Linked DNA regions of Cricetulus griseus. The protein of the gene in region 1 purifies or fractionates together with the protein of each later gene. This does not show direct contact. Links are inferred from orthologs where the notes say so. Each region holds a gene or a part of one and is shown in the gene's direction. Other genes may lie near its edges. The genes, in order: Nudcd1, Dhx38, Copa, ATP-dependent RNA helicase DHX8, Copg2, Dhx15 and Copg1.

Evidence for each region.
Region 2: the proteins of Nudcd1 (region 1) and Dhx38 purify together in Homo sapiens (co-immunoprecipitation; 3 studies listed by BioGRID and IntAct, with this or other methods). This does not show direct contact. The link is inferred for Cricetulus griseus from reciprocal best matches to the Homo sapiens genes NUDCD1 and DHX38.
Region 3: the proteins of Nudcd1 (region 1) and Copa purify together in Homo sapiens (co-immunoprecipitation; 3 studies listed by BioGRID and IntAct, with this or other methods). This does not show direct contact. The link is inferred for Cricetulus griseus from reciprocal best matches to the Homo sapiens genes NUDCD1 and COPA.
Region 4: the proteins of Nudcd1 (region 1) and ATP-dependent RNA helicase DHX8 purify together in Homo sapiens (affinity purification with mass spectrometry; 3 studies listed by BioGRID and IntAct, counting the BioPlex papers as one, with this or other methods). This does not show direct contact. The link is inferred for Cricetulus griseus from reciprocal best matches to the Homo sapiens genes NUDCD1 and DHX8.
Region 5: the proteins of Nudcd1 (region 1) and Copg2 purify together in Homo sapiens (co-immunoprecipitation; 3 studies listed by BioGRID and IntAct, with this or other methods). This does not show direct contact. The link is inferred for Cricetulus griseus from reciprocal best matches to the Homo sapiens genes NUDCD1 and COPG2.
Region 6: the proteins of Nudcd1 (region 1) and Dhx15 purify together in Homo sapiens (co-immunoprecipitation; 3 studies listed by BioGRID and IntAct, with this or other methods). This does not show direct contact. The link is inferred for Cricetulus griseus from reciprocal best matches to the Homo sapiens genes NUDCD1 and DHX15.
Region 7: the proteins of Nudcd1 (region 1) and Copg1 purify together in Homo sapiens (affinity purification with mass spectrometry; 3 studies listed by BioGRID and IntAct, counting the BioPlex papers as one, with this or other methods). This does not show direct contact. The link is inferred for Cricetulus griseus from reciprocal best matches to the Homo sapiens genes NUDCD1 and COPG1.

The regions. Positions count from the first base shown.
Region 1 is NC_048603.1:8,622,444-8,625,943, forward strand, and holds part of Nudcd1 (nudC domain-containing protein 1), read left to right. Parts: intron 1-2,954; coding exon 2,955-3,109; intron 3,110-3,500.
Region 2 is NC_048596.1:185,933,518-185,937,613, reverse strand, and holds the start of Dhx38 (pre-mRNA-splicing factor ATP-dependent RNA helicase PRP16), read left to right. Parts: upstream 1-1,296; 5' UTR 1,297-1,601; intron 1,602-4,096. UniProt on the Homo sapiens protein: Probable ATP-binding RNA helicase. Involved in pre-mRNA splicing as component of the spliceosome.
Region 3 is NC_048598.1:20,775,643-20,779,663, reverse strand, and holds the start of Copa (coatomer subunit alpha), read left to right. Parts: upstream 1-1,221; 5' UTR 1,222-1,339; coding exon 1,340-1,379; intron 1,380-4,021. Other genes in the region: Ncstn (nicastrin), read right to left, coding at 1,029-1,113. UniProt on the Homo sapiens protein: The coatomer is a cytosolic protein complex that binds to dilysine motifs and reversibly associates with Golgi non-clathrin-coated vesicles, which further mediate biosynthetic protein transport from the ER, via the Golgi up to the trans Golgi network.
Region 4 is NC_048600.1:116,339,022-116,342,521, reverse strand, and holds part of ATP-dependent RNA helicase DHX8, read left to right. Parts: coding exon 1-119; intron 120-1,200; coding exon 1,201-1,382; intron 1,383-2,941; coding exon 2,942-3,082; intron 3,083-3,500.
Region 5 is NW_023276806.1:197,043,267-197,046,766, forward strand, and holds part of Copg2 (coatomer subunit gamma-2), read left to right. Parts: intron 1-2,078; coding exon 2,079-2,154; intron 2,155-3,144; coding exon 3,145-3,248; intron 3,249-3,500. UniProt on the Homo sapiens protein: The coatomer is a cytosolic protein complex that binds to dilysine motifs and reversibly associates with Golgi non-clathrin-coated vesicles, which further mediate biosynthetic protein transport from the ER, via the Golgi up to the trans Golgi network.
Region 6 is NW_023276807.1:120,436,044-120,439,543, reverse strand, and holds part of Dhx15 (pre-mRNA-splicing factor ATP-dependent RNA helicase DHX15), read left to right. Parts: intron 1-2,702; coding exon 2,703-3,138; intron 3,139-3,500.
Region 7 is NC_048601.1:55,406,229-55,409,728, reverse strand, and holds part of Copg1 (coatomer subunit gamma-1), read left to right. Parts: intron 1-1,493; coding exon 1,494-1,737; intron 1,738-2,611; coding exon 2,612-2,687; intron 2,688-3,299; coding exon 3,300-3,403; intron 3,404-3,500. UniProt on the Homo sapiens protein: The coatomer is a cytosolic protein complex that binds to dilysine motifs and reversibly associates with Golgi non-clathrin-coated vesicles, which further mediate biosynthetic protein transport from the ER, via the Golgi up to the trans Golgi network.

The DNA.
Region 1 (3,500 bases):
AACAAACTTTGGGTTTGTTTAAGGCTATCCAGGGCTTTTTATCCAAATATGATAAGAACATACTTGACTTAATATTGTCTAATATCAATGTCTAATAATGCATCCTGCATTATTAAATTTCATCCACACAGTGGTGCTAGAAAACCAACAGTTGGCTGCTGTTTCCCTCTTGTTTAGTAGAGTATCCATTTCTAACCCTTCCTTCGCAAATAAATCCTTCCTTAAACTAGAGGGGGCATTCCACAGCCCCCATCAACATCCTCAGAAACTTGCGATTTTGCCTGTCAAGTCTGAAATGTTTCCAGGCTTCAGTCACCCCTCTTGGATGTGAGTTGGCTGACGTCAGTAGCTTGCTGTTGGTTTTGCCCCTTCTCTGATACAGTCTGTATTCCACATCTCATTTTTGAGTACTGTCTAAGGACCTCAAATCTGAACTTTATTCTCCAGTTTAGAAACAGATGAATCCTTGCTTACAGCGAGTTTCTAAAGGCAGAAGTCAAGGTAAAGTCAGATTAGGCTATCGAAATGCAGTTTCTGCCCTCATTCTCCAGCTGCATACATTTGCAGCTATTCTTGGTATATAGTTCTCGTACTTCCCAAAGCCAGGGAGCAGGGAGGTAGCTAGTTCTCATTGTCACCTTGACACAATCTGGAATCACTGCGAAGGGAATCTCAATAAAGAATAGATCAGGTTGGCCCGTGGGTGTGATTGTGAGAATTGATTGAGGTTAATTAATTGTGGGAGGGCCTATCTTGAAATGAGTGGCACCGTTTAATGGGTTGGGCCCTGGCTTGAGTGACAGGGAGAGATGAGTTTAGCACTAAGCTTGCATTCATTCTCTCTCTGTTCTCGACCATGGATGTGAGTAGCTGCTTCAGGTTTCTGCCTTGACTTCCCTAGCAGTGATGGACGGTGACCTGGATTTGTGACGTAAATAAATCCCCTTTTCCCCTGAATTGCTTTTGTTGGGGTTTTATCATAGCAATGGGAAAGAAAACTAGGACAGTCAGTATGAATACTTGTCTTTTTCTTCCAGTTTTTCCTGGTTTTGCTTAGAAGGCATGTTATTTAAACGTCTATTACTTCAACAACATCTTCCATCTGTATCTTGGCTCAGTCTTGGAAAGCTTTTGTTAACCTCCTGAAGTAGGTCAATTCTCTTTTATATATCCTTGTGGTATTTGTATTTTCTACATAATGTTTTAATTGTATTAAATTCATTATGCAATATGTGATCATTTGACTAGTGCTTTTTTGTTTTGGTTGGGGGGGGGTTGGTTATTTATTTATTTATTTTTGAGGCATAGATGGTCTCACTACATAGCCCTAGGTGTCTTGGAACTTGCTGGCCTCTAAATCACAAAGATCCATGAGCCTCTGCCTCCCGAATGCTGGGATTAAAGTGGGCACCATCTTGCCTGGCGGCCTGGCGGCCTGGCGGCCTGGCGGCCTGGCGGCCTGGCGGCCTGGCGGCCTGGCGGCCTGACCCATTATCCTTTTGCTTACCAGATGCTGAGTTTTTAGCAGGTAGAGTGTGTTCTCTCTGTGTATCACTGGTGTCGCTGGTGCTCATTATAAGACTTGCTAAGTAAATGAATAAATATGTAAGCTAGGACTCAGTGCAGGCGTTGAGAATAGGAAAAGTGGGGCCGGAGAAAAGGCTCAGCAGGTGAGAACGTGTGTTGCTCTTGCAGAGGGGTCAGTGCCCAGAACCTAAGTGGTGGCTCAAAAGCATCTGTAACCTCAGCCCAAAGGATGGCTTCTGGCCTCCACAGGCACCAGGCATGCACGTACATCCATGCAGACAAACACATACACAAAATAAGTTGAAAGAAATAACAAATGGTGTGAGGCCCTGGATGGTTTTTACTGTCAACTTGACACAATTAAGAGTCACCAGGAGAGGGAGTCTCAATTGAGGTAATACCCAGGCCTTTGGCCCTGTGTGATTGCTGATTGACATGGGAGGGCCAAGCCCATGGCTGACAGCAGCACCTCTGGGCAGACGGTAGATAGATTCCAGAAAGCTGGCTGAGCACAAGTCAGAGGACGCAAGCCAGTAAGCAACAACAGCCCTCCGTGGGTTCTACTTCAGTTCCTGCTCTGACTTCTGAGTCCCTGTCCTGACTTCCCTCAGTGATGAACTGTGACCTGAAAGCAGAAGCTGGAATTAACCCCCTCCTCTCTGAGATGGCTTCCTCTCATGGTGTTTACTACAGCAACAGAAAGGAAACTAAAACAGCGGGTAAAGGAGAAAATAGTTGGCAGTGAGAATAGTGTTCAAATGAGTTTTATATAAAGGTAACGTGGAGGTTCAGTGCAGTTTACTTAATTTTCTTTTTGTTACAAACAGAAATTAGTTGTAGGGCATGAGTAGCCCTGAGCTGCAAGTTCTTAACCACACAGAAAGGCACGAATGTGAGGGAAAGACTATATATATTTGGCCAATTCAGAATTAGGCAAAAGCTAATGTTTTAGTTCAGAGAGCCCCGTTCCATACACAGAAAACCTTGTGTATGTCCCGACTATGATACTGTTTTATTCTTTATGATTGGGAATGATGCAATGCGATGGTGAAGTTACTCTTTGTGTTTCTGCCTAGTTTCCTAACTGTATAATCATATAATACAGACATTGTCTCTTTCTTTATGTGTGATAAAGATGAATGACACACTGGAGTAAGAATGCTTTATAAACTGGGATTGTTTGCCCACAGATTAGAAGTCCTTACAATTCAAAATCATAGAGGGACATAAAAGGAAAAGATTGCACTATGGAAGTCCTGCATGCTGCAGCCTCTGTAGCTGCCACTGTCTGGTTTCTATGCCCTGTAGGCATTTTGCAGAAATGAATGATCCGAGGTGCAAGTTTGATGATTGTGTTCATGTCTATATATACACACAGATGCATGTAAATATGTGTGTCTGTTTACATATGTTTGTTTGTCTTTCAGCTGTAGCGGAAGTGAAGCTTCGGGATGACCAGTATACGTTGGAGCACATGCATGCTTTTGGGATGTATAATTATCTGCACTGTGATGCCTGGTATCAAGACAGTGTCTACTACATTGATAACCTCGGGAGAATTATGAACTTAACAGTGATGCTGGTAAGAAAAACATGCAGGGTGGAAAGACAGAGCTCACCCTGTTCCCGTTGGTTCTTTACTCTCTCCTAGTCTGATGTCCAGACAGTCAGGAGAGCACACTTGCAAAGTGGAGACCTGTCGTCAAACTGTAAGGCTGCCTCTCTGCTTAATGTCAGTCGTAGCTTTTACTCCGTAATCCCGCTACCCAGCCATTTCCTCCCGTGTGTGGTATATCCTCAGTGTAATAAAGGATTTCTTCTTTTCCCTTTTACTTAGTGCTTACATTGTGTCATTTTTGGTGTTTATGCTGTCATGTAAACTATGTAACATTTATGTTAGTATTAAGACATAGTCCTTTTTTTCCCTCTAGGTCTTGGGGATAATTTATGCCTTGAGGTCTTGTTTATCTGAT
Region 2 (4,096 bases), on another chromosome or scaffold:
GGAAGACAAGGCAAAGCCTGTAACTTCAAAGCGCTGATCCCACTCAATAGTCTGTGGAGCTGTGCACAACTGAGTAGGAAGGTAGCTGCACAAAGACAGGTTGGCCTGCCACTAAAGGATACTGCTATCCCCACCCTCAATATCACTGCCTGACTCCAAATGGAACCAGAATTTATGGGAAGTGCTGAGGCAGACAAACTTGCTGATCTCAGCATTCTAGGAGGACGAGCAGTTGGGAATAGCAGAGGCTCAGTACATAGCTCACCCATCTCTCTGCACTTTGCATTGTTTTAAATCTAACATTTAATGAGATTCCCATAGCCCTACACAGAAAACGTCCAGATTTTTATCACGGTAGCATACCATTTCATATGTGGACCACACTTTAGTGGTCCTTCATTGATGGACGTTTGTATATTCTCGTGACCTGGCTTAAGGCGTCTTCCTAGGTGCACTTTATCACATGGCAAACAGATCAGTTATGAGTGTGTGGAGCCAGGCGCTGTGGCACACACCTTTGATCCCAATACTTGGAAGGCAGAGGCAGGCAGATCTCTGTGAGTTTGAGACCAGCCTGGTCTATACAGTAGGCTCCAGGACAGCCTGGGCTACATAGAAAAACTCTTTCTTGAAAAACAACAACAACGAAAGTGTGTGGAAATCACAATTAAATAAATATTCCAAGATATCATCAAAGGACATACTTGAACATGGACAAGTGATTATTATTTCCACTAAGGGTCTCGTTTAGTAGCTCAGGCTGGCTTTGAGTTTGTGGCAATCTTCCTGTCTCTGCCTCACAATTGCTGGGATTACAGGAGCGTGCCACCAAGCCAGGTAGATAACTTATTTACTCAGGGCGGATATGTCTACTTTCCAAAACGTTCCGCACCTGTGTTTTACAAGATGCGGGCGGTTGGGTTACTCCTGGTCCACAGGTGCCAGGGAGGACACAAACCACCTGTCAGCAGTCCGGATTCCTTCACCGATAGCCAAGGCACAACTGTCTCCTTCATCGGTCCCAACCCGGGAAAGGACCTTAACCCCAACTAACCTGGGCTGTTGCTTAGAAACCCTTCTTTGGCCTGCAAACCCGAACAAACGGAAGTGAAAATGAAACACGGACGCAGAAAATGAACGTACCATCGCGCGTCCCAGTCAATAGCCCAATAAGCAGACGGCGTTATTATAGTTCTCGCCCATTTGGCACTGCCCCAACAGGAAGTTATGTCATTTCCGCCCTTAGTAAATATGGCTGACCTCGGTCTGTCTTGCCTCTCACGCCCACAGGCCAGAGGCGGGGTATCAGCTATCACTCTAAGCACGATTGGTCGCAAGGAAACCTGGGGCCCAGAGGAAGACACCGTGGCTTTGAAGGCGTGTTCACGTTGTTTCTCTCTGGCGTCCAGGAACCTTGTATTTCTGGGCTACTCTCGATGGTATTTTTGGACGGATAGAGGACCCCGCGCAGGGCATTATGGGACAATGATGGCCGCTTTCAAACAGTGGAATTTACCTCTTTGAGACCCTCAGACCGAGCAGTGTTCGCGCTGGCGTCCCCAGATCAGTGGCAGAAGGTCCCGAGAGTCGTGCTTGGTGAAGTGAGTATCTCTTCCTCTTTCCAGATCCGTCCTTCGGCCGCCATGGTGGCTCCAGGCGGCCGGGGTCGGTTCGCGGCTTAGGTTTTGGGCCCTGGTTTCAGAGTTCCTCTTGTCCTTGTTACCCAACTTTCTCTACTCACTTGAGCGGTCTTGTGTCTATTCAGCCTGCTCCGGACTTTGTCCCCGTTATGGTCACATCCTTGTGTTTGGGAACGGCCCCCTGAGATCGAGGCATCCGCCCTGCGCCCTGGTTTATTTAGGACGGTGCCCTAACCTGTTACCTAGAGAGTCTGGATAGGGCTCCTGCTGCCTTCCTCCTTTCTCACCGAAGTGTCTCCATTAAGTCTGGTGGTTAATCTATAGGTAGAATATTAACCGCAAAGGGCAGGGAGTTTTTGGTTTTTGTTTTTAAAATCGGTATTGTTGAGAACAATTGACTCAAGGACACATGCAGTTGCTGCCCAAGAAGTCCTTTGTGGCTTCTGTGTCACTGATCTTTCTCCATAATCTGGCCCTGGAATTCCTTGTTTGCTATTTTGAGCGGACAATTAAATCCTTCCTTGACCTGTGTTGTGGATAAACTTCTTGTTGTCCAGAGAAATGTTTGAGTTCTTGTTCTCTTTTAATAGGATATATTTATTCATTTGCTTTAAAATTAGACTTTCATTTTGCCATTGCTGGGTTATAGCAGTCAACAAGACAGCCTCTCGCTTGTATGCAAATGACATTTTAGGACATAAGTCATCATTCAGGTAACTGCTGAGAGTCTGTGTACCTCAGTCTCCCCGTCTGGATTTCCTCATGTATATTTACATGTAACTTTCTTTTTCTGCTCCACCTGATGGAATTTCCAAATGAAGCTCTTGTTTGTTCATCTACATCATGTTTGCAGTACTCCTTGGTAGAGCTGTGCATGCCGATTAGAATATGGCAAAAGAAGTGTAGATTCCAGAGGTACAGTTCTTATGCTTTAACGACTTACTGGAATGAGAATAATTGTCTGTGTGTCCAACATAAGTTCATGCTTCTAAGTAGATGGTATCAGTTAAAGACGAGTGTGTTATCAACCAGGAGATCTTGCAGTCTCTTAAACACTTTCCTGAAATACCACTTCCTTAACTTAGCATTTCTCATATGCAAGTTTGGTAAATACAGTTTCTTATTCAAGAGATTTTTGCCAGCTATGGGCAGCTTTTTTTCCCCCCTTTTTGCACAAAACACTACTGATCACAACAAAAGTCACCAAGTGTGTAGAATATGGATGGTAAAATTATGTCCTTACACTTACACTTTGTGGAACCTGTGGCTTCAAGGGGGAGGGGATAGGTGAGTAGAAGAATGTATATAAAATATTAGAAATATTAGTAAGGAAACTAGTCAGTATACAGGGGCATAATAGCAAATGTGTAATAATTACACTGACAAAACATCTATGGTTCATGTACAGTTGTTAGATTCTCACAGTGGTTCTGTGCAGTGTATAGAGAAGTAATAGCTAACCAAGCCTGCTGCTTACTCTCACAGAAGCAGAAAATGCCAAGAGCCTGGGTATCTTTTTTATTTTTATTTTTTAATGTCTGTTACTAAAGAAGAGGGTGTGCTGCTGCAGCTGACATGAAAAAGGCCAGCGTGTTTGGTTGATGTTTGGAGGCAGTAAGCCAATGGGGATCTTAAAGGTGATTATTGTGATTCTTAAGTAGAGAAAGTAGAAGGGTGAAATTACAGGAGAATAAATTAAATAATGGGTAGGGAAAATCTATGAGTGAGGGCCATGGGCATGAATGAATGAATATGTCACTAAATAGTCTAGCAGTTATGAAACTCACTATGTATCTCAGGCTAGCTTCAAATTTGCCATCCTCTGGAGCCTCCTCAGCTTCTCACCTGCTAAGATTACAAGTGGGTGTCACCGTGCGTAGGACCAGAAACTGGATTTTAATTGAGGTTTCTGACTTACATCTAGTTCCCCTTCTAGTCCCTTTTTGTATTCCAGTAAGAAGTCCTTACTGAAGTTTATTCTTGTCTGGATGATACCCTCTTGATCCTACCACTTGCTCTGTGTATATGTGTCTCTGTGTCTTTCATATATGTTGAGGTGGGAACTGGGAAACTTTTTGAGATCGTCACTGATTTGGTGGGAAAGTCTTCGGAAGTAGCAAAGGGGGCTAGAGAGATGGCTCAGTTGGTGAAGTGCCTTCTCACAAGCATGAGGATCCGAGTACAAGGAAAGCTATGAGTAGAGGCACTTGTGTGCTGAAGAGGCAGACACAGGCAGATCCCAGGAGCTTGCTGACACCCTAGCTTGGCTGGATTTACTCCCAGTCCAGTGAGAGACCCTGTCTCAAAAAGTAAGGGAGCAACTGAGAAAACACTTGACATTGACCTCTGGCCTCATGTGCACACAGTGCCTGTGTACCTGCATGAACACACACACACACACACACACACACACACACACACACACCCTCTGATAGCAGAAGATGCTTTGGGCTCAG
Region 3 (4,021 bases), on another chromosome or scaffold:
ACTAATTAGTTAGAAAAATACTTCTGGTCTAAGAATATAGATTACCAAAACAAACAAAGAAAAGCATTCAACAACAAAACCCAGCTAAGAATCTGAACAGACCTAGGAGAAACCTTATGCCACACACCTGTTAGGTGAATCAAACACCTGATCATTTGTGTGCACACCTAGAGTATGGGGCAGCTACAGTTTCTCCCTTGAAGATGGTCAAAAACAGTGTGAAGTAGGGGAGATACAGTCATGGGTATAAACAGAAATGATTGCATTTTAGGGCTTAACTAAAAAGCCATATACATATAAGGAAACACAGCTCTGCTTAATTTCTTAGTTGAACATACTAGAAAGAATTACAGATGTGTGAGTGAGTGTAATTCACAATTGCAAAATTAGTAAATATTAGATTTTAAAAAATGAAAATATTCATCTACATTAAATGTCTAAAATTCCTTGAATCATTACTTCCCTCCTAGCAGTTTAAAGCGGCCAAGGCCACGTTAGCCTCACTTTAGAAAATAAAGAAAATAAGGGACACACTATTAGTGTAGAACACTGACAGGAGGAAATGAGCGCTCTCTCTCTTTCTCTCTCTCTCTCTGTCTCTGTCTCTCTGTCTCTCTCTCTCTTTTCCAGTGTTGCAGAAGCGCCCACAAGACAAGACTTTTGGTCTCAAAATTACTAAACCAGCGAAGGGAGGTTGAGCTTTTTACACCTGTCCCTTTTGACTGTGGGTGGGGTGGCTGGGGCTTTAAAGAAAACGGGGCATGCGAATAAGGAAGAAGAGAATCAGGTTGGAAACCCAAAAAGGGGTTGGAGAGAACTAAGGGAAACGACGTGCCTCGGGAGGTAAGAAATGAAGGTCCAGGCCAAGGGGGAACTTATGTCATGGGAACGAAAGACAAGAAGGATTTACAGGGCGGGGGGGACAGAGGGGCAAAGGGAACCAGAAGGGCGACAACGCCTGCACTTGCGATGGGCCGATCGGGACGGTTCTCCTTACGGAGCGGAGCTCCGGGGTGGGGTGGCCTCACCTGCCAGTATCACGGAAAAAGACAGAAGGAGAAGAAGACCCCGACTTCCTGGGTCAGGCCCAGAGCCGCCCCTAGTTGTAGCCATCTTGCCTCTCCGCTGAGCGGAAGCCTCGGGCCCCTTCCAGCCTCGTATCGGCCTCTCTAGGCTTCCGCTGGCACCGTCTCTGTGGCCCAGGGCTCCAGAGACCGGAAGTTAGTGTCTGAGGCGCTTCCGGGAGCCACGACCTCGGGTAGCTGACGTGGAGACTTTGGGAAGGCAACCGGGAGCGGCGGGGCTGGGTAGTCGGACCTGGGAGCCCGAGGCCTGAAGGATGCTAACCAAATTCGAGACCAAGAGCGCGCGGGTCAAAGGTAGTGAGGAGGAAGAGGGGAACAGCGCAGCTTGGGGGTTGGGGGCGGTGCTGTCACTAAGGAAGAGAGAACCGGCGGGCGGGCGGGCTCGCCCACCGGCTTGGGCCCGCTCGAACCCAGCGGAATAGCCGAGGGAGGCGGCCTAGGGCTGGCGGAGTCTCCGCACTCTGCGCTTCTCAGTGAGTCCCGGGGTTTGGTTTACTCGTGAAATGGCTCCTACATTGAAGAGATCACTAGGCCCGCTTCCTGCTCCATCCACCTCTTCTGGGGGCTGCGCTCCGGCTTTTACTCTCTCTGTTGTTAAGGCCTTGTGACTTTTATGCTTTTTGATGACCGTATTCTACGGAGTACCCCCGGGGCTGGGTTCTCAGCCTCTGTCACTGTGTCGCTTCTGGAGTCAGGCACCGGCTACTGCCTTAGCCTGTCTGCACCGTCTCCATGTCCAGTGCTTCCGTTGGACGTTATTGCCTGCTTGCTTACAGACCCCTAAAATCCAGAAACTGTAAGACTGTTCGATGAACGAAATACAAGATGCTTTGTATTAGGTTTGAATATCACATAAACGATTTTTTTGGTAATATTTTTTTGAAGAACGAATGCCTGAGATCACACTCTTTCGTAATGTTGAAATTAGAAGAGCAGAGAATTAAGCCTACAGAAATCTGGTTAAAAATATATCTGGAATATTTCCTAAAAATGCATTATAGTGAAGTGATTTGGAATTTGTTCTTTGGAGTCAAGTGGACTTGCTGAGGAATTCTGAAACATCCACTAACAAGCTATATGACCTTAGGTGGCATACTTACGATCTCTAAATCTCTGCATTCTTATTTTTAAAAATAAAGGTAATTAACATTATAAAGAGAATAAAAATGTGAAAGTATATTAAATATGTTTATAATAATTCCTGGCCAGACTCAGTAACTCAAAAACTGGAGGCTATTTAATGTGAGGCTATATTCTGAGCAGTTTCTGAGTCTTGTGGGAATTTTGGTCATGAAGGGTACCATTGAGAGTTCCTACTACCACCATGACTATGTAGAGAGTCTGTCTCAAAACGGAAAAAAAAAAAAAGAAAAAAGAAAGAACTGTCATCTCTGGTGCCAGTCACAGTGGCTTTAATCCCAGCACTCTGGAGCCAGATGCAGGTGGATCTCTGTGAGTTAGAGGCCAGCCTGGTCTATACAGTGAACTCCAGGCCAGTCAAAGCTACACAGTGAAGCATTATTCCCCCCCCCCCAAAAAAAAGGTTTAGGGCTAGAGAGAGATGGCTCCATTAACAAGATTTACTGCTTTTTGTTTGTTTGTTTGTTTGTTTGTTTTGAGACAGGGTTTCTCTGTGTAGCCTTGACTGTCCTGGAACTCACTCTGTAAACCAGGCTGACCTGGAACTCAGAGAGATCTGCCTGCCTCTGCCTCCTGAGTGCTGGGATGTACCACCACCACTGCCACCGCCTAGCTGAATTACTGCTCTTGCAGAGGACTTGAGTTTGTTTCCCAGTTCCCATGTTTGGCAGCTCACAACCACCTGTAAATTTAGCTCCAGATGATCTGATCCCGTCTTCTGGGCTCCATGGGGCACCTGAACTCAAGTGCCCAAACGTAATTTAAAAAACAAACAAACAAACAAAACCAGTTTCTGAGTTTGAAATGAGTCTTCATTTCCTATTCTTTTTAGATGTCTTCTCAGTCTGTAGAAAGGTGTAGAGGGGATGAGTATTAAGAGTTCATGGAAATTGTTGAATCGGGGTTAAGAGTGTATGCTGTTCGTACAGTTTGATTTCCATCATCCATGTCACGTGGCTCACAACTGCCTATCACTCAGCTCTGTGGGATCCAGTGCCCTTGTCTGTTCCCCTTTAGGCATCTGTACTAATGTGCACATAACTTCCACACGGACACACATAGTTAAAGATTTTTAAAAATTTTAAGTGCTAAGTTGGACGCTGTGGTTTGTGTCTGTAAATCCCAGCACATGAGAGGCTGAGGCAAGAGAATTGCTGTGAATTGGAGGCTACATGGTGAAACCTGTCCAAAAGAAAACGAAAAGGTGTTACCAGTAATCATAAAAATAAAAGAAACACCATGCAAAATAGGTGCCTTCATAAACTTGCTGATATTCATATACTATGTCTTTACAACTAAGCAATAGCTACCAGAGTTGGACGTTGTGGCTCTCATCTGTAAGCCCAGCACGTGGGAGGCTAAGGCAAAAGGGTTGCTGCAAGTCTGAGACTAGCCTGAACTACAAAATGAGACCCTGTTTTAAAAAACCCAAACATTAGCCAGATAATGGTGGTGCACGCCTTTACTCCCAGCAGTCAGGAGGGAGAGAGAGAGAGAGACAGGTGGATCTCTGTGAGTTCAAAGCCAGCCTGGTCTACAAAGCTAGTTCTAGGACAGCCTCCAAAGCCACAGAGGAACTGTGTCAGGGAAAAGAAAAAGAAAACAAAAACAAAAAACAAGGAATTAAAAAAAAAATTGCTGGGTGTGGTGGCACAGAAGCAGGCAGATCTCAAACTTGAGGCAAGCGTAGTAGTAGTAGTAGTAGAAGAGAGTTTCAAGACAGCCCTGGCAAAGAAATCTTAGCTCTGGAAGACAAAAACATCAGCAACAAAGCCCCAAACATTTACCAAAACATT
Region 4 (3,500 bases), on another chromosome or scaffold:
CTTCACCATCCCTGGTCGGACCTATCCAGTGGAAATACTGTACACAAAGGAGCCCGAGACAGACTATTTGGACGCCAGCCTGATCACTGTTATGCAGATCCATTTAACAGAGCCACCAGGTGAGGGGAGTGGAAGGCTTTTGTCTTAGGCCAAAAATCCTACTGGGTGTATTTTTGGCTAGTCTTGTAAGAAACACATTTTAAATATTGTTCTCTTTGTAAGTCTCAGGCATGCATATTTGGAATAAAATATTATTCCAAATTAAAATAGTGATATAATAGTTTAAAAAAGTGATATAAGGTTTAAATGCACTTAATTAAATGTAGACAGATGATAACCTCTTGGTTTATTTTTGTGATTTTTTTTTCTTTTTAGTTTTTCGAGACAGGGTTTCTCTATGTAGCTTTGGAGGCTATCCTGGAACTAGCTCTGTAGACCAGGCTGGCTTCAAACTCACAGAGATCTGCCTGCCTCTGCCTCCCGAGTGCTGGGATTAAAGGCGGGTGCCTTATATGTAAATGGAAAATATATGTTTTCCGTTTACGTGTGTGTGTGTGTGTGTGTGTGTGTGTGTGTGTGTGTGTATATATATATATATATATATATATATATATATATATATATACATACATACATAGTAATGCTGTTAGTGTTGCTGTATCCTTTTACACACAAGCAGTCTGGTGGTTTGTACCTGTGGTTCCAACTACCAAGAGGCTAAAGCAAGAGGATTGAAGTTTAGGACCAGCCTGGAACATGATTCAACTCTATTTCACAGTAAAACAGATCCAAGCCTGGTTGCAGGCTTGTAATCCCAGCTAGTTAGCTAGGCAGATAGATCTCAAGTTCAAGGCATGCCTGGACAACTTGTCTCAAAACTTTTCAAAAGTGAAAAGAGAGCTGGTGATGTGGCTCAGTGAGGACATGCACAAGACTCTAAATTTGCCGGGTGTTGGTGGCGTAAGCCTTTAATCCCAGCACTCGGGAGGCAGAGGCAGGTGGATCTCTGTGAGTTCGAGACCAGCCTGGTCTACAAGAGCTAGTTCCAGGACAGTGTCTAAAGCCATAGGGAAACCTTGTCTCTAAAAAACAAAAAAAAAAGAAAGACTCTAAATTTTACCTCTCATACCACAAAAGAAACAACAAAACACCCCCGACCCCCACAGAGACAGAGGAAATAATGCCTCATTCTCTTCATAGGTGATATCTTGGTTTTCTTGACTGGTCAGGAAGAAATTGATACTGCTTGTGAGATCCTGTATGAAAGAATGAAATCTCTGGGACCTGATGTCCCGGAGTTAATCATCCTCCCAGTGTACTCTGCCCTACCCAGTGAGATGCAGACCCGAATCTTTGACCCAGCTCCTCCTGGCAGCAGAAAGGTAACATGGGCTTAAATGAGGTTGTCTCATATACCCTGAAGTCCTGTGGGGTGTCCAGCCTCCCCAGTGATGGAATTACAAGCACATGCCACCATGCCTACCATTTTTATATGGGTTGTGGGTATTAAACTCAGGTCTTCAGACTTTTGAGACTGAGTACTTTACCAGTTGAGCTATCCCCTTGCCTTAATTCATCATTTTTAAATAAAATAATTGATTTTACAGCTGGACATGGTGGCATGTGCACATCATGACACGTGTTCAGGTCAGAGGACAGTTTTCAGGAATCAATTCTATCCTTCCACCATCATTCAGGTCATCAGGCTTGGTGGCAAGTGTCTACCCACTGAGCCATCCTGCTAGACCTTGCATAAATTTTATTTTGTATATTGTTCACTATAGGCATTAGGTTATTTCCACTTTGGGATATACCATGAGTGCTTCTACTGTGAACATTTGTTTACCAGTTTCCTGGGATGTGTGCTTCTCTGAGTGTAGTCCCAGCAGTGGATAGGAGGGCGCACAGTCGTTCAGGAGACAGAGGGGGTGAAGGGTGAGGGAAAAATAACTTCCCTGCTTCTAACTTGCACAGCTGCGTGGAACACGGTTCTAACATGGGAGCAGGTTTGGGAGGGGCAGATGTTGAGTTCTTCCTCTGTCCTGTTTCTGTTGGTTGGATTGTTTTTTTTTTTTTTTCTTTTTTTCAGCTACTTCTTTTTTATGTTGATTGGTGTTTTGCCTGCACATATGTTTGTGTAAGGGTATCAGAAGCTCTGGAATTGGTGTTAGCCACCATGTGGTTGCTGGGAATTGAACTCAGGTTCTCTGGAAGAGCAGCCAGTGCTCTTAACCTCTGAGCCATCTCTGCAGCCCCCAAGGTTAGATCGTTTCTAAGCAGGGCTTTTGGCTGTGTGGCAGGTAAATGCCTTCCAGGGCCAGTAAGATACTGGTATGATGTGAGACATTTTGGCGCCTCCTAGCAATGTTTTTTCTAAGCAGTTGCATTTTATGAGCTGAACCTCTGGGTGGAAAGCCAAGCTGAGAGTCATAATCTTCTAGATCAGACACTGCTGCACACACACACACACACTGTGAAATTCCTCTGTCGCCTTGTGGCTCATTTTATGGTGAGGAGAAAAGATGCAACCCTCCTCTTGTTCTACATATATGAACAGCCCATTCGTAGTCCAGATGTCCCTGTGAGAGAAAGAAAAATCTCATTTTGCAGTGGCACATGTGATGCCAGGAAATCTGTACTTTCCCAGGGAGCTAGGAAATTAAAATTATAGTAATCATCCGCTCTAGACAATGAGATGCACAGCTATTTATACCAAATGAGGTTGGCTCTGAGCAGCCTTAGCTGTTTCCTGCTTTACACCTCTGAGGCACCACCTACTTCCAAAGGAACCCTTCAGATGAAGGCTCCTTCCCCTCTGAACACTGGAGACCTGAGCCAGGGTTAAATGTCAAGTGTCTAGAGGGAGATAGCAGCAGATCCCGGCAACATGTGAGACCTGTTTCAGCTCAGCTCACTCTGGCTCTGTCTGTCTCATCTGTAGGTCGTGATTGCCACCAACATCGCAGAGACATCACTGACCATCGACGGCATCTACTATGTAGTTGACCCTGGATTTGTGAAACAGAAAGTTTACAATTCTAAAACAGGGATTGACCAGCTTGTGGTGACACCTATCTCTCAGGTTGGCTGCATCTATCATAAGCTTTTTTCTAAATCCTGGTGAGGGTCTTTCTGGGATTGGTTATGGTTCTGGAGGGGTCCCTCCCTTCTTTCTTTCCTTTCCTGTTTGTTTCAAGACAGGGCCTTGCCAGGATCTCTGTAAGTTCTAGACTAGCCTGGTCTACATAGTGAGTTTCAAGAGAGACCTTGTTTTGAAAATCAAAAAAATAAAAATTAAAAAAGACAGGATCTTACTGTATAGTTTAAGCTGGCCTTAGATGTGGGACCCTCTTGCTTCTGTCTCCTTAAGGGATTATAGGCATATGGCACCATACTTAGCTTGATTCTGTATTTTAAACCTTACTGTCTTCAAAGGTTAACTTAGTGTGGGATAAAGGAAGGCTTCATAGGATGTTTGCTATCCACTGTGTGTGTGTGTG
Region 5 (3,500 bases), on another chromosome or scaffold:
GTTACAGGTGTGATGTGACTTTGGAGGACACCCTGGGACTAGGTATACAGCTCTCCTTTGTGTTCCGACTTTCATGCAGATTTTTGCCTTGAATTGGAATCCTACAGTCCTTGCCTTTCAGTGTAACAGGAACACTATAGTGCTACCTCTCATTTTTTCACTAAACCAGTATATGGGATTTATGTATGGATGTGTCCATAGATACATTTTAAGTGATTCTAGTCTATGCCACTAATACAGGTAAATTATCCTGTAATCCTGTTTCACGTTAACTCCTGACCTTATATACTTGGTTTCCAGATAAACTCACAGAAACCGTCACTAGTTGCCTTCATGTGCTCTTTTTCCTATTTTCTTCTCAGCTCAATAAAATTTGACCCTCTCCTTTAAGTTTTTTTTCTCAAGTTACTTTTTAAAATTACATGTAAGTTAGTGGGAAAATCAGACTACTTGACAATTTTGATCTTAGTTCATGTCTCAACTTGATAAACTGTTTACTGGCTGCTTAAGGAAACTCTTCCTTTGGTTTTTATAGTGTACTCCAGTTTTCTGTCATCCCTTGGTCTATTTATAGTCTTTCTTTCTAGTACATTAATTGGCCATCCTTAGAATTGTCTTATCACTGTATACATTCTTCTGGATTGTGTTTTGGAGCTCTATTTGTAGGCATGGTTCTCCTGAATAAGAATGTCCACCATATACCCCATATGTAATGTGAAATTCAAACTAGTCCAAATTGAAATCTTTCCTTGATCCTCAGAAGGCAGGGATTTAGGTCACCCTGAAACCTCATCTGTTCCTCACCACAGGTCTGTCACTTTGGCCTCCTTAACTGGTTTCTTCATTCTCTTACCTTCTGTCATTGGGTACAGGTTTAGGCTTTCATTCATTCTGATCCCTAGCTGCTCTGCTTCTAGTGTCACAGATTGTTTGTTTGTTTGTTTGTTTGTGGAATATGAAGAGTGGGCATTAAAATAACACAAATTTGGGCTGGAAAGCTGACTCATCAGTTAAGGGTACTTACTGTTCTTGCCAAGGACCTGAAATTGGCTCTACCTGTAACTCTAGCTCCCAGGGGATCTGATACTTCTGGCCTTGCCAGCACCTACACTCTGCTGTGTGTGTGTGTGTGTGTACCTACCCAGAGGCATATACATTTTACATAATTAAGAATAATAAAAATATTTAAAAACAATCACAAATACATCCTATACCTATGTGAGATAATAAACCTTTAATTGAAACATTACGGTTGAGCTATGTGTGGTTTTTTTAGTTTATCTAGTCTCTCACTTTCACTCTCTAATGTGGCTCCAATTCTCAGCCTTTCTCATTCAAGACTAGTAAATACACTTTCTACTCTGGACACAGAACATTTATTTGTTTTTCTTTTTAATACTCTTACCTTGTCTCTTCCCTTTGGCTAAACTAACTATTCTACAAAATTAGCTGCAGTAGTGTCTCAATTCGTTGTTTGACCTAAGCCCCCATTTCTGTACTTACCTAGCATCTTGGATATAGTTTTGCTAGAGATTTACTAGGGTAAGACAGTCTCTTTCAAAGACCATGTCTTTTATCTTTGTATTCCTCAGCTTTTGCCACACTTCCAGTAAAATTTAGGTGAGCATTAAATCTTTGTTGAATGAAAAGAATGTTAGTAATAGCTTCTTGGCATTAGTTGTTTGAAATTTGAACTGAATCATGTCAGAGGGTATAGGAAGAGCTATAGGTAGGTGTCCTAGGGTAGAGACAGCTTACACAGTATGTATATGATTCACAATTCTGTTTATGCTTAAGTAATCAAGGAATTGCTAATGAAACAAGACTTTATTTCTACTGAATACTAGTTGTTTCTCATTTGCTTTTGGTTTTGGTTTATTTGTTTTTATTTTGTTTTTTAATACGTGGTCTTTGTATCCTAGGCTGGACTGAAACTCACTCTGTAGCCCAGGCTGGTCTTAGACTTTGAGTAATTTTCCTGCCTTGGGCTCACAAGTGTCTGATTTGTTTTGGGAATGCTTATTTCTTAACTCTGAGAAGTCAGTATTTATGTTGCTTCATTCTGTGTTTCACAACAGCTGCTGTAAGTGCTTTGGCTAAATTTGGAGCTCAGAATGAGAGCCTTCTCCCAAGCATCCTGGTCCTCTTACAAAGGTATATAAGAGAATGCCAGCTTTTGAAAGATAAAGATTCCATATAGCTAAGTAGTGAAAAACCTCATTGCCCTATTGTTAGACACACTGTAGGGCTAAGAGTAGAGCTAATAGAGCTAGTCAGGGGCAAATGCAGTTTTTCCTATTTCTGATAGTTATATATACACAAGATACATGTGAGATTTGAGATTTGGATTTCTTTTACATGATTTTGAGGGAGTAAGGTAAATATATGTACTTCAATTTGTACAGTAAACACTAACTTTAAAGAGAGGTTAAACAATTCATATGAAGAATTGAAGATAGCCTTTCATGATCTTCATAACTCCCTAGTTGTGAGGGAAAGTCCTTTTTAATATATATATATATATAATTTTTTTTTTTTTAGACGGGGTTTCTCTGTGTAGCTTTGGCGCCTATCCTGGCACTCGCTCTGGAGACCAGGCTGGCCTTGAACTCACAGAGATCCACCTGCCTTGCCTCTGCCTCCCGAGAGTGCTGGAATTAAAGGTGTGCACCACCAACGCCCGGCTTTAGCAAGTATTTTGTGATTGTATTTTATATTTAAAGCAATTAAGTCATAAGCCAAAGACTGACTAGTTTAAATGAAGCAGATTGCCATTTGAACAGTACTGAGTGCTAGTTTTCTTTGTCTCCGTAGCGTAACATTTCCATTTCTTAGTGTTAGAGAAGCTAAGTCTTTGTTGGGCTCTTGTAGTTACAGACTCTACATTATTATGTCATGTTACTGTGTTCTTCCTAGTGACTTCAGGCCTCCTAGTGTAGTAATTCTGACTTGCAATGGCATCTCTTTAGTACTTCATAACAGTTCAAAGAATCATGGAAAATTTAGGAGCCCTTGTTGGCTATTATTGAACTCTGCCATAAAAGTCATATCAGATAACCTCAACTGTGCTTTACAGGAACAGTGGTAAAACTGTTGGAAATCTTTGGGATATAGAAACATACCTATGCCATTCCTTCTGAACAGGTGTATGATGGATACTGATGATGAGGTACGGGACCGAGCTACCTTCTACCTGAATGTGCTACAGCAGAGACAGATGGCCCTGAATGCTACATATATCTTCAACGGTTAGTGCCTTAGTGTTATGGAGACATGACATAGCACTTCTGTTCAAATGGTCAAACCTATTTTATGGTGATTCACATATTAGCTGACTCCTTTAGGCAGTTGCATGGTTTTAATCTTTGAATGAAATTCCATTTCTAGGGAAACGTATATTCATGGAGGTATTTTCTAATTTGGTAATAGCAGTTCCTATGAAATAATATGTATTTTTTAAAGTATAAAAGGGTCCAAAAGAATATTGCTTATCTCTAGTT
Region 6 (3,500 bases), on another chromosome or scaffold:
AATGTTATTAGTTCTGTATCAATAGACAAAACTTGCATGTGAGCAAGGAAACACTGACTGTTCTTGATAAATGTCATAGTGTTGACTAAAGAACTATTTAGAGCTTGCTTTGTCTTTCTTCTGAGACAATGTTTCTCTACATCGCTCTGGTTATCCTAGAAACTCAACTGTGTAGACCAGAGATCAGCCTGCTGCCTCTGTCTCCCAAGTTTTGTGGTTAAAGATGTGTACTTCCACACCAGTATTGTTTTTATTTTCTTTAAAATTAAAAGTGTTATGCTTAACTAGCAAATTCTTATGAGAAAAACTTTTTGTAAGTGCCCTTTTTAAACAAGAAGCTGCATATGGACAAGTCTACCTATGCTTGGAGAGGGACTTAAAAACTTACCTTTGTCATTCAGAGTAGCTAGTGTGAACTGCAAAACTAGACCATTGAAGTAGTTTTCTGCATCCCAAATGTTTTCTTCATCACTTTGCTGAGTTTTAGGCCTTTTCTGTGGTTTTTCAACTGGTTGCCTTGCCCCTCTTTTTTGGGGGTGATGTTAAATTCTCACTTTATTCGTCATCGAATCCTTGTGTTTTGTATTCTATTTCTTTCTCTGATATAGTAATGAAGCTGTAGGTGAAATGTGTCCTGGAAAAGGTGTGTGTTAGTGTAGGTGTTAATTTTTCACATAACATTATGTGGATTGCTTTGTGTAGTATCTCTTCACCCAGGTTTGTAGTTTTGGAAAGGTTAGGTTTGTATCTTAACTGATTCCATACTCTTAAATATGGAAGATGCTTGTTCAGTTTCTTTTTGTACTTTATAACAAAATGATAGCTACAAATGTAAACCCTTTTTTAAACTTTTCTGTGTGTGTATATGTGCATGCGTGTGCTCATGCCTGCCCCTGTTGAATACATTGCCCAGTTAGTTGAGACACTGCTGATTGTGAAGCTGTTTTTTTTTTTTTTTTTTTTTTTTTTTTTTTTTCCTGAAGCTGACCGTTTTTTTTTTTTTTCAGCTAGGCTGGCCTGCAAACTCTGAAGATCCACCCTCACCAATGCTGGGTTACAGGCACCACAAGGCCATGCCTAATTTAACAGATTTGAACTCAGGTTTTCTTGCTTTCACAGCAAGTGCTTTTACCCACCAAATCACTAGGCCTGCAAAGGTATCCAGTCCTTGAGCTGTTTGAGTCTTTCTTTGCTTTATAAACTTACATTTTTGATTTGATATCAATGCCCAGTTAAAGAGCACTTAAATGAGAAGCAAAAGTAGCAATGAATGTGATATATTTCAAAGATAAGGCTCAAATTTGAAATTTTAAGACTTATATCCCTTCCTCTCTCCCTCCTTTGGGGGACTGTCTCTAGGCAGGTTCATCTGTGTAACAGTCCTAGCTGTCTAGGAATTCTCTTTGTAGGTCAGGCTGGCCTTGAACTCAGAACTTCCTCTGCCTTCAAGTGCTTGGATTAAAGGCGTGTACCACTATGGCCTGGTTGTTGTTGTTTTGTATTTCTTTTTTGTTTGTTTGTTTGTTTTTGTTTTTCAAGACAGGATTTCTCTGTGTAGCTTTGGAGCTTATCCTGGCACTCAACTCTGGAGACCAGGCTGGCCTCGAACTCAACAGAGATCTGCCTGCCTCCCAAGTGCTGGGATTAAAGGCGTGCGCCACCAATGCCCAGCTGTTTTGTAGTTCTTAAGTAATCTTTTACCTATATAGTTTTGATTTCTTTGGGTTTTGGGTGGCATGTGAGGATTTATTTCAGCTTTATGTTGTATTTTTCATAAATCTGTAGTGGGTAGTTAGGATGGGAGAAGTCACATTCTAATAGGGCTTTTCTTCCCTGCAAGTTTGTATGGAATAGAGTCCCATATTTTATGAACAGAATCAGATACAATTATCAACTTACCAGTGCTGTGGCTGAACGATTCTCATTCTGTGCTGTTTAGTAAGCATTTTAGTTGTATTCTGCTTAAGGTTTTTACTGTTTCTCCTCTAAAAGACTGTGGAGAGTGAATGCGCTTTCCTGCTGTACTGTACAGATACTTGTGTCACAGGAAATGAACTTTATGTGTTGTAAGTAAAGAGCAATGACAGATTTAGGGGTTTGTTTCTGTTGTCTCCACATTGCCTCATTGTTTTAGTCCAGGTCAGAAAACCTCTTGGCATTTTGTGATATATATATGAGTTGAATTTACTCCATTAGGATTATCTGTTGTAGATACCAGAAATGACTAAAATTATCCTTAGTTCAGTAGAAATTACTTAATTTTTACAACAGTTCTGTAGTCTGTGAACTTTGTTTTTAATTTGACTACATTTCATTTTGATTCATCAAGGTGTGTATAGATTTATAGTGAACGATCCACCTGCCTCTGCCTCCTGAGTGCCTGACTTGGTTTTTTTTTTTTTTTTTTTTAAGTTTTATTATATTACATCTTGTGTTGAGAGCTGAGAAGAGTTGGTCCTCTCCTATCACCATGTGGGTTCTGGGTATTGAATTCAGACTGTCAGGCTTAGGCTCAAACCTTTATCTGCTGAGCCATTTTGATGGTCTTCCTATCAGTTATTAAGGTTTTAGAAGGATGGAACTAGAGACCTTGTCTAGTAAAGAATTTTCTTGGTGGTGCATGAAAAATCCGATCATTTCTAATAATTCGTTGAGATGTTATACACATAATCACTCTGATTTTTAAATTTTTATATTTCCAGGAAAGACCGGGATAGAGACCGGGATAGAGAAGACCGATCTAAAGATCGTGACCGAGAACGCGATAGAGGAGATAGAGAACGGGAGAGGGAGAAAGAAAAGGAAAAAGAATTGAGAGCTTCCACCAACGCTATGCTTATCAGTGCTGGATTGCCTCCTCTAAAAGCTTCTCATTCAGCTCACTCAACCCACTCGGCTCATTCAACACATTCTACACATTCTGCCCATTCAACACACACTGGGCACGCAGGACACACATCACTTCCACAGTGCATTAATCCGTTTACTAACCTGCCCCATACGCCTCGATATTATGATATTCTAAAGAAACGGCTTCAGCTCCCTGTTTGGGAATACAAGGATAGGTTTACAGATATTCTTGTTAGACATCAGTCATTTGTACTGGTTGGTGAGACTGGGTCTGGTAAGACAACACAGGTGAGTTGTTAAATACTATGGTAAATATGTTATGCTAGTGTTTAAATTTAACTAAATGTGCTGGTTTGGTCATGATAGTCATTTTCTATTTCTCTGTTCATTTGCAATTGTATGTCGTGTAGAATATCCTGAAGAAGAGTTCTTTGGCGAACGCTTTTTAGTGACTTAGGGTGTTATTTTAGTAAAGAGGGTTGATTTCTTAGTCTATACAGGAAAATAACTGCTATCTTCTCATCTTGTTATTCTGAGTATAGCAGGAAAACTCTGGGACAGTAGAAATTAGGAGTACAAACTTTGTTTTCTAGTGCTTGAGTGGAGAGATCTGAAACATTGGGGTTGTTTTCTTTGTTAAAATATTTGAA
Region 7 (3,500 bases), on another chromosome or scaffold:
GAATCAAACCAATTTCTCTGTATGAACAAGTGCTCTTAACTGCTGAGCCCCTCTGGCCCCAAGTCTTTTGGTTTTTAGCTAAGACTGTATCTATTAAACACTGTCTCCCCATCTGCCTCTTCTAGCCTTTCACCCACAGTTCTTCTGTGTTTATGAATCTGACTGCTTCAGTTATCTTGAGGGGAATCAGGAAGTGTTCTTCTTTTTCTGCCTCCCTTATTTCCCTTATAAATGTCCTTGGATTTCATATATATATTATAACATGTATCATTTTCTTTTTCTTTTTTTTCTTTTCTTTTTTTTTTTTTTCGGTTTTTCGAGACAGGGTTTCTCTGTGTAGCTTTGGAGCCTATCCTGGCACTCGCTCTGGAGACCAGGCTGGCCTGGAACTCAGAGAGATCCTCCTGCCTCTGCCTCCCGAGTGCTGGGATTAAAGGTGTGTGCCACCAACGCCCGGCTCATTTTCTTCTTTTTCAATGCTGAATAACATCCTTTTAAAGTACTGACTACAGTTTGTCCACTCATACTCCTGTGAACACTTGGGTTGCTTCTGTGCTGTCACTGTTGTGACAGGTGCTTCGAAGATTATGAGTGTAGAGAGGTGTTCTGTTGCTGATACCCAAAAGTGGAATCACTGGGTTAGCTAATTCTGTGCTTGATACCTTGAGGAACCACTGTATTGTTTTCCACGTGGGGTGTGCCACCCATTCTGCCTTTTTTCATGTCTCCCATAGCCAGGCTTTCAGTTTCAGGTGAGTGAGTCTGTTAGGTATATAGCAAGCGAGGGTAAAGGAGAAAACAGCAAACTGCAGGTAGACAGTAGAACATAAAGTTATACACACCATCCTGCAGGAGTGCTTGGGAAAGCCATGGGGAACAAGTCATTGAGGCCCTTGTTGACAGAGAGTCCCCTACAGACTGTCTCCTGTCAGGTGAGGCTTCCAGTGAGTCACATCCACCACAGGTGTTTCTACTGTGAGATAAGCAGTAGGGGAGCCTTTTGCTTTGGGAACGAACTGCTTAGCCATCTTAAGGGACAGTGTGATTTTACTTAAGTGATTTACTCTCCTGTTCTCAGTGGTGCTGTTTTCACTCTTTGAGCTGTATTGCTGTTCTCCTTTGTCTTCTCACGGGGCAGGTGACACCATCCCTGGACATGGGTCTTGAAAGACAAAACATGCTTGGATCTGAGGCCGGCGTCGGGGTAGGGGTAGGGAGCAGCCCTTCCTCCAGAGCCAGCTTCTCACTGGGCTTTAAAGCACATGGCAGTTCTCTAATAGAGTGTATCTTTCTCTCAGCACGAGAATTGGGGTCCAGAAGGTTCCCATTAAGCTTTCTGCCCTGGTGAGTTTCCAACACAGACAGAAGCCTAGGCTCCTGTTTCCAGCTGTGGAGCAGTGTCTTGGGCCAGGCTAGGCTCTGGGCCTCCCTCAGCTGACCTTGGCTGTGGGAGGATGTGAGCTCCTTGCTCAGCTAGACATTTGTCTCTGCAGGGTGGCTTTGAGTACAAGCGCGCCATAGTGGACTGCATCATCAGCATCATTGAGGAGAACTCAGAGAGCAAGGAGACGGGACTGTCACACCTGTGTGAGTTCATTGAGGACTGCGAGTTCACTGTGCTGGCTACCCGGATCCTGCATTTGTTGGGCCAGGAGGGGCCCAAGACCAACAACCCCTCCAAGTACATTCGCTTCATCTACAACCGTGTGGTCCTGGAGCATGAAGAGGTTCGGGCAGGTAGGTCTGAGCTGGGGTGATCCTGGGCGCTTAGCTTTTTTGCGGTGAATTTGCCAGTAAAAGGACCCAAACCCCCAGGGGCATGACCTCATGAGCTGTTTTTTATATTGTCAGAAAGACTTTATATGTCATGCATCTGGATAAATGATTTTCTACAATTTAATTTTTTTTAAAGGTTTCCTGTTTCGTGCTTAGAGGGTTTTTTTTGCCTTTTTTTATTTTATTTTATTTTTGAGATAGGGTATTGTTATATGGCCAGGCTGGCTCGTACTCGAAACCCTCCCGCTTCAGTCTTCTGTATGCTGGAATCACAAGTATGCACCACCATACCTAGGGTTTTTTGTTTTGTTTTGTTTTTAAACTTGAGATATAACACACACATAAAATTTACCTTTTTATATAAACAGTGATCTGGCAGTCTACCATCTTGTTCTTAATTTCATCTTATTTTCCATTTCCTACTTCTGTGCATCCTTAAGAAGATTTTCTTCTTTTGGCAGCTGGTGTTCACTATGTGATGGTTTATTTTCTCATATGCTGTACTCTCAGGCCTATTTACATACACACGAAGCTGTTCTGAGGTGAATAGCCTGACAGTGTTGATAGTGTCTGTGGCCTTGATCATTTGAAGGTAGCCCGTAGAGCCCTAGAACAGAAGCTACTGGTCTTCCCTTTTCTCCAATAACAGGAAGAAGTAGTTGAGGCCTGGGTAGCACCAGGATCCACCAGGATTGCACAAGAGTTGTTCTAGGATCGTATTGGTGCCACCCACTACCTCTTCTGCATGAATTCTCTGAGCACTAGTGGGCACCCTCAGCTCTCTGGCAGGTGGGACTGAGGAGCTGTTGGTGAATCATATTTACCTTGGAACTAGGTGCAGTGAGTGCTCTGGCCAAGTTTGGAGCCCAGAATGAAGAGATGTTACCTAGCATCTTGGTATTGCTGAAAAGGTGAGTCTGGGTGCAGAAGCCAGAGAGCATAACAGTGTCCCCTTGGTCCAGTCCACTGCTTTGTCCTTCCAAAGAATTTTTTTCTTTCTTTTTTTTTGGGGGGGGGGCAGGGTTTCTCTATGTAGCCCTGGCTATCTTGGAACTTGCCATGTAGACCAGGCTGGCCTCAAACTCACTGAGATCTACCTGCCTCTGCCTCCTAAGTGCTGGAATTAAAGGTGTGTACCACCATGCCCAGCAAAGATTTAATTATTTTTATCTCATTTGTGTGAGTTTTTGCCTGTGTGTATATCTGTGCACTGTGTGTGTGGTGCCTAGTACCTGCTGAGTCCAGAAGAGGGTGTAAGTATGTCTCCTATGAGCTCAAGGGAACCTCTGTGTATTTTGTGACATTTGGTTTGTCTTCTTTCCTGGGTGAGTTCTTTATTAGGGAGCTGTCTTCCACTCAGCTGACCAGCCCCTTGTATTTTATGCTGTCCATTTTAGAGCCTCCACTCTTGGCAGCTGAGCCTTAAGAGCTCTGCATCGCCCTGCCACCCCCATACAGCCCTACAGGGTCCCTTTGACACACTTGCTACACTCAGTCAGGGTTACCTTGTGTCCTGACCACAGGTGTGTGATGGATGACGACAATGAAGTGAGAGATAGAGCTACCTTCTATCTGAACGTTCTGGAGCAGAAGCAGAAGGCCCTCAATGCAGGTTATATACTAAATGGTGAGTCTTCTTGCCTGCCCAGGACCCAGCCCCCTCTTGGAGCCTTTAGACCTTCCTGCGGCCTTAGAGCAGGTGTGGTGTCCCTGACCCAAGACAT